2 linked regions of the Oreochromis niloticus genome follow. Each later gene encodes a partner of the first gene's protein in a complex. Links are inferred from orthologs where the notes say so. Each region holds a gene or a part of one and is shown on either strand. Other genes may lie near its edges.

The links. Proteins that work in one complex are often made in the same cells at the same time.
Region 2: mediator of RNA polymerase II transcription subunit 13-like (region 1) and med21 share a complex: the UniProt entries of both Homo sapiens proteins name them as parts of the mediator complex. The link is inferred for Oreochromis niloticus from reciprocal best matches to the Homo sapiens genes MED13L and MED21.

What each region holds. Positions count from the first base shown.
Region 1 is NC_031972.2:20,824,005-20,827,759, reverse strand, and holds the start of mediator of RNA polymerase II transcription subunit 13-like, read right to left. Parts: upstream 2,659-3,755; 5' UTR 1,082-2,658; coding exon 1,010-1,081; intron 1-1,009. UniProt on the Homo sapiens protein: Component of the Mediator complex, a coactivator involved in the regulated transcription of nearly all RNA polymerase II-dependent genes.
Region 2 is NC_031981.2:34,719,106-34,722,860, forward strand, and holds the start of med21 (mediator of RNA polymerase II transcription subunit 21), read left to right. Parts: upstream 1-1,501; 5' UTR 1,502-1,557; coding exon 1,558-1,641; intron 1,642-3,601; coding exon 3,602-3,716; intron 3,717-3,755. Other genes in the region: fgfr1op2 (FGFR1 oncogene partner 2 homolog), read right to left, coding at 149-285, 1,266-1,290. UniProt on the Homo sapiens protein: Component of the Mediator complex, a coactivator involved in the regulated transcription of nearly all RNA polymerase II-dependent genes.

The DNA of each region.
Region 1 (3,755 bases):
TGCATGATCACCTAAAGCCCCCCAGGACCCATATGTTGTTGTGGTTCTCAGCGGCAGCCTGCGCCTGAGCTCAGTCTACTGCATGCCTTTCCACTTGGCTGCCTGTTGTAGTAAGACAGTTAACTCGCTGATTGCAGGATGAAAAACTGTGAAAGCACCGCCGCTCAGTTCCCTTCCACCCTCTGCAAAAATGCTGCTGCCTGGAGAGTCAAAAACACCTTGTTTTCAGTGCGAAAGTGCTGCTTCCGTTGTGTGCCTAATACATGATGCTGCCTGTCAAGATCTCTCTTGCTTTTTTAAAAAAAAAAAAAATCTCCTGTGAGACAATTATTCCACTAATTCTCATTCTCAGATCTTCTTCTATTTCCAAGTTATGAGCTAGGTAGCATTTTTTTCTAGCAGCGCCATGCATAAAACTATTATTTTCTGAAAATCAGAGTTTTGGGGGGTTTTTTTATTTGTTTTTGTTTTTTTTCTTTAGTCTCTGGCTGTAGAGATATCTGACAGTGGCAGCAGCAGGGCTCCTTTCCAAGTTAGTTGCTTGGCAATGCATTAGAGTTCCTGCAAGATTTCCAGTGAAATGATTATTTAAAGGGGGTGGAGGATAATGGCCACTGTGCTCTTCATAGGGAGAAAAGAAATGACTGTTTATCTATTGTTTACTTGCCAGATTCATGCAAACACACAAATAATTGGCCAGTCAGTTGTGGTAGCATTTGAACCCTGCATTTTAAAGCGTCACGAGATTTGGTTTGGTTTGAAAATGTGATAGCAAAGTTGATTTATTCTCGTTAAACCCTCCTTTTATGATATCAGGCATATAGTGATGAAATATGCTGTTTATTCCGAATCACTAACCCGTGTTAATGATTGCCTAATAACAACATCACCGATTGGTTCACCTTTGTACAGCAGGCACACATTAAAGCATGCCTCCCCACTGTCTTATGACTTGTCCATCACAACCGCCTCGCGTGTCTGTGACGAACGTGATTTATTAATACCGTACCAGAGAGAAGATGTTGGAGTGGCAGTCCTCAAGGCTTGCCCCGTTAGCCACCCAATTCGCCGATGTAGTCATAATGGTCCGCCTTTGGGGTCGTCAGCGCAGGGCATGTCGAAATCCTACATCGGTTATCAAACACCGAGCAGGGGCTGACAAATCGGTTCCCTCACGAGTCTGCCCCCAAAAAATAAAAAAATAAAAAATAATAATATATATATAAAAAAAAAAATTAAATAAAAAAAACAAAACAAGCAGGCTTATAACCTCACAAGAGGTCCGGATAATAGGCTCGGAGTGGTCTGATGGGCGTATTCAAAAAGAAGTGCAGAATGCATTAAAAAAATAAAAATAAAATAAAAAAAATGCCTGTGTTGTAGTGTTGATATATCCAAGCGTGAGCGGGGGATCACAACATTGTTACAATCCAGGTCGGGCGATTCCAAATCTGATCACTGTCAACAGCCGGAGAGCGCACAAATGTATCCATTTCAATCCCGAGGAAGATCCGCCTGTTTCCAAATCAGTCTCTCCGCGGATAGTTTCATCATTAAATGACCGTAATCCATTTGTAGGGGGGGGGGACGACGACTCCCTTTTCTTCCTCGCTCTGGGAACAGCCTACCTCCTCTCCTCTCCTCCTCCTAAAACAAACAAAAAAAATTAAAGAGTCAAAACTTCTTGAAATATAATCGCTGCAGTGCGAAACAATCAAGTTGAGGAGCACGCAGGATATCTGATTCCGTTTCCACAAGCTGATGCACCACTTGTGATAGTTTTCGAGAATCGCGTGTGCTATTTATAGCCGTCTTTCTTGTCACAACCGTTCCTCTCACAATAATGTAACCCCAGTGTGCGTGTCTCTCACAAACACACACACACACAAACGGGTGGTGCGGGCAGGAATGTTTAATCCCTCTGTTGCTCTTGAATTAAACGGGAGCGCAGACGGAGAGGTCTCTAAAAAAGAAAAAGCTTCCCCCTCCACACACACACAAACACACACCAACCAACCAACCAAGTGCACCTCCGCGGCAGGACGGACAAAGTCGAGCGGGTTCCTCAGTTAGCCTGAATCATGAGTCAAAGCGTTGAGACAAGAAAAAAACTATTCTTACAGGGCTCACTCCACCAGCAGGAAAACGACAAACAGGCGTCTGTGCAGACGGAGGTTTGAAAAAATCCTTCCTTCCTTTCAGCTTTATATCATTACGAAACGTCCTCTCGCGACCACAACAGCCTCAGTCTTGCACACCAGAAAAAAAAAATACATATATCAGGTAGGATTTCTTTAAAAACGCACAGTTCAAGCAGAAGTGGCCGTCCTTGTCTGGCGCCCGTTGCTGACATAAAGAATATGTTGCATGCTGCAGATATAAATATATTTGAAATGTCTCATAAAGCACCACCTCGGCATTTAAAAGCGCATCCTCCTGTTTCTCTTTCGCTATTGAATTAAATCCTCAAAGGCGTGTTTGGTTTCCTCGGCGGCGACTCCTTCCTCATTGTTTATCTCTCAGATGGCGTTATTATGCAGCTATGGAAGTGTATGCGTGCGCGCAGCCCGAATGTGTCACTCTCACCCTCCGTGTCTGTTTGTTTTACGCCGAGCGCTGTGGCGTTTCTTCGCGCACGATCGTCCAGCCCACCGCGCATTGTAATGTAATGGCGGTCGGAAGCGTACTACCCGAGACTCGCCTTTTCCATTTGGCCAAGTTTGTACTCACGTGATCAAAGTCCAGGATTACAGTAGTTGAGTGTATTTGATATTAGAGGCGGACGCGACAGTCGCCGAGATTCCTTTATTGTTGCCATGTGCGCTTTGTTTCTGTGATCTTTTGTTCTGCCTGAAACGCGCAGTGAAGGGTTATTATTTTATTTATTATATTTTTTTATTTTTTATCACTGCACGGTGTCATTCTGTGATGCATTGGTTACATAATGTATCTGTGCTCTCACAACAGAGGATGTGACAGAATAGAGGTCAGAATGACTTACTGAGCACACTGTGTTTCATAAGAGATATCTATGTAGGTTAGTCTTACACTCAGCATGTGCATCACATATTATCTGAAAACATTTCTGAGGCTTTTCTCACGCGAAAAAATAAAAATACTCAATATGACTCAAACCAAAGATTGGGAGTTATTTAGAGTGGTTGTATTCAGGGCCGCAGCTAAGATTTAAAAGATACACCGGTTATCATGAGTCAAGTCCACCATGAACCCCACCCTAGCCCCACCATGAACCCCACCCTAGCCCCAAGCCCCAACTATTGTTTTAGTGTACGGTGTCAATAAAGTTAAATATTTATTTTTAAAAACATTTAAAAATGCTGAAATGCATTTTGAATATATTTTTAATGCTAAAATATAATTGTTGCTGTCATCAATGAATTTTCAAATGTACAGTTTTACAAAAAAAGAAAACAGTCAAGCACATTTTTTTTTAAATTAAGATACCGAATTCCAGTTAGTTATTAAGTTATTCACCTGGTGATGAAACTATGCTGAAGGGTGTTTCTTTCGTCTCTTTGCATTTTACATTTTTATCTATCGGGTGTTATTAATGATTGATCAACAAATAGCTAATATTGGGAGATAATAGTAGCCTGCTGATACGGCCCCATTCAGGCTTTGGTAACTGGGCAATAGTTTGCTAAAGCTTTTACTATACATTAAAACAGCATTAAAAGTGAAAGTACCTCTGTAATTTGCTTACAGCTTTACATATTCCAAAACATAAAGGCCAC
Region 2 (3,755 bases), on another chromosome or scaffold:
TTCAGTCTAAAATATAAAATGATAGATCATCATAACAATTAAAAAATACTTTTTAAAAAGTGTTATTCCAGCTTTTGAAATAAACTTCATGGATTCTACATCAAATGCTTTAGGCCTCACATTTCCCCAAGTTCATGTGACACCCTACCTGTTTCATGGCCTCTACTCGCTTGTTGAGATGTGTCGTCTGTTCGATTAACATCTCAGCAGCGTTGTCATGGTTGCGAAGCCTTTCCACTAATGATTTGGCATCTGCCAGGACCTTCTCTAATGTACAGTTCATGCCTGAGGAAATACAAGTGATTCTTAAGAGGAGCTAGGACAAGGTTGCTTGCAAACATAGTAGTCATCCACCTCGTCAATCCTTCTTTTCTTCCCTTAAGTATTACATTTGGTTAAAGCAATTATCCATTAGCAAGCTATTCATTATAGTGATGACTGACACTATTGAATTATATCTTATTAAAATAGCTTCTTTATTTAAAGGTAGGCTGACTTTGTATCTGTACATACAGCAGCTGCAGTCAAGTGAAAGTTTTCTGGGAACTCTGAACAGTCCTAAAAAAACCTATGTATATACCATGATGCAGTGGCTTTTTGCAAGCTATTGCTGCTGTTAAGCAGCAATATGTTACAGCAGCCTTTTTCTATAAAAGTTGTCTTTTTCTATATGATAATCACTTTAATATGTTTTAAACACGACTTAAATCAGAAATGCTTGATCTAGATCTATTTTGCTTGATCAAACAACAACACCACGATATTGGTATTATATAATTTTAAAAATATCTGAAAACCAAGAAGTAACCTCAACTGAAGCGTCAGCTCTGACTTCAAAATACCAGCTAAAAATCATTCATTGACATTGTGTCTAGGCTTTCTCCTCCTCGACCTACTCGTCATTACAGCTGCTGTGTCAGCTAATTCGCTTATTACGAGCAAGCCTTGCGTGTTTTAGGCGTCAGATTCACTTTACATAATTACTTCTGAAGCACATTCGTCTCAGCTATATAAAACGTGAAGGGAATTAGTTTCTCAGTTTTCCAAATTCAGTAAGCTGACAACGTAAAATATATTTTAACAACACATACATACATACATACATACACACACAAGCTGGGCTCACTTATTAGCCAACTTACTAATCAGAGTTAAGCTTTCATGCAAATCCACTTACATGCTCGCATTATAAACGGGTGCGTATATCAAATCGGTGTTGCCATGCAATTTTAGATAATGAATTAAAGAAACAAAAATGATCATACCTGGGGAAGCCACAGTACAAGACATTGGAATTGCGTTAACTCCGCTGCTACTTCCTGTTGATGTTTAGTAGCTAATATTAGCTAAAGGCTAACATTAGTCCTCATAAAGCAGCCACAAACAGGGTCTAATAAAGATCCGTTCCTCGTTAAAATAGAAGATAACCTCCGCTGATATGAAAATATCGATTTTTAACGCGTTTCAAGTTTGCTGTGAACCCAGTTGTGAGACGGTAAAAGTAAGTAACCCAACCTTTGCCAACCAAGGTTCCCAAAATACCGAATATACCGCGAGATGTTTTATGTTCTCGCGACAGTTACGTCAGAAACAGACAATATGGCGGACCGGCTAACACAACTTCAAGACGCAGTCAATTCGGTAAGGCAAATGTTGAATATCTTAAACGTTCTTTGGTAGAAGGAGGTGTAAAAAAATATATAAAATGCATCGTCATGTCGATTAGAGTTGGTAGCTAACGCAAACCAGTGGCTCGAGTAGTTTAGTAACATGTGAACAACACGGGGTAGCTAACCATTATAGCAAGTATAGTTAAAGGCCTGTGTTACGAAACGACCAAACCAGCTCAGTTATTTTAAACAACGAAGTGTTACAGTGTTAAAACGTCGTTTTGGCTAGCTTCCTTGAACAAAATAATACAAAATAAATATATTTGGAAAAGAAAAATACTAAACTAACGTGGGAAAGTAACCCCAGAGGGTCAACATTTGATATTCAGAAGTATTTAACATGCAAAAGTAATTTCTCTATATTTGGCTTGCAAGGGACCAAATTTTCTTATTTATTTCAGTGGTCTTGAACAGAAGTTGAACTTAAAGGAATTACGAATGGAGAAAAGTAGGTCAGATTTTGATCCTTCATGTTGTACCAGCTTGCTAGAATATTGCAAAGTCTGTTTTTGCCTTACATACTGTATTTCCACATATTTTTTCCCATTTCAATAAAGTGCTGCACCTATTTGTCATTTTCCAAAACAAACAAACAAACATAATAATAATAATTATTTAAGGGTGGTTCTAGACCAGGGATGTCATTCTCCTTTTGCTTGGTGGCCTACATACAACACACTATGCACTTTGGGCCAATCAGTGAAACTACCCTTTCTGTCACTTACAGTCAGAACTTTAACTACACATTTAATCCCTGAGACATTGTAATATAGTTTTTCTACACAATAAAGAAAAGTTTGTCAGTGTGACTTGTTGGGCTTAAATTGTAGGAAATAAATGTGTAAAATTGGAGATGCTTGTCCATGCCTTCATCTCCTCTCGTTTAGATTACTGTAACGCACTCTTTTCTTGTCTGTCTAAGGCTTCCCTAAATCGCCTCCAAGTGGTCCAAAATGCCGCAGCAAGGCTTTTATCCCACAGTCATAAATTCTCCCATATCACCCCTGTGTTAAAATCCTTGCACTGGCTTCCGGTTGAGTATAGATATCAGTTTAAAATCCTCACTTTTACATTCATGTGCCTACAAGTGAGGCCCCCACTTATATCACTAAGCTTCTCCAAACCGGATCCTTAGATCCACTGATAGTGGTCTTCTAACCATTCCATGGACCCGTTTGAAAACGAAGGGGGATTGCGCTTTTCAAGCCTTGGCTCTAATATTATGGAACAGTTTACCTCACCCGCTACGCACCATCAACTCTGTAGCTACTTTTAACAGCTCAAAACACATCTGTTTAGACAGGCATTTAGGTAATATTCATGTGTAGCAAACTGTTTTACTGGATATGCTACTATACCCTATTTATAGTGTTTTATTGTATCGATTGATATGCTTTTATTCCCATGTGAAGCACTTTGAAAAAACTTCCTGTTTTAAAAAGCGCTATATAAATACATTTTACTTACTTACTAAAATAACAGAAAAAGTTCTTTTGGCTTGTTGTGTAGACTGTCCTGTAATAATATATTTTGTAATGTGACCCCATTGTAAAAAGCACAGATTTCTATAGTAGATAGTTTAAAAAATGAACTTTCTCTCATTTCATTATTTGGGGGAGGTTTTATCTTCAGGAGAAGCTGTAAAACTTATGAAAATACAGTTAAAAGTCCAAAACTTAAGCATGCCTTCACATTTTTACAGTGGGTAAAATTGGATTCTGGTCTCCGGGCCTTATGGTTGACACTGGTAAACTAAATATCTATATTTTATAATAATAATAATTTTAAAAAAAAAAACATACTTTGGTAAAACTGATGAAAGAAATGTCTTTAAATTTCTTTTGTCTGAAGTTTATGTTATCAGCAGCAGCAGCTAGTGTCTTGTTCAAATAACAGCGTAACCTATTACTGGTTTTGTTTTGTGTGTCCAGCTTGCTGATCAGTTTTGTAATGCTATCGGCGTTCTGCAACAATGTGCACCTCCTGCATCCTTCAGTAACATCCAGACAGCTATCAACAAGGATCAACCAGCAAACCCAACAGAAGGTTTGTGTGTTTTTACTATGACATTATTTTTAACCATCG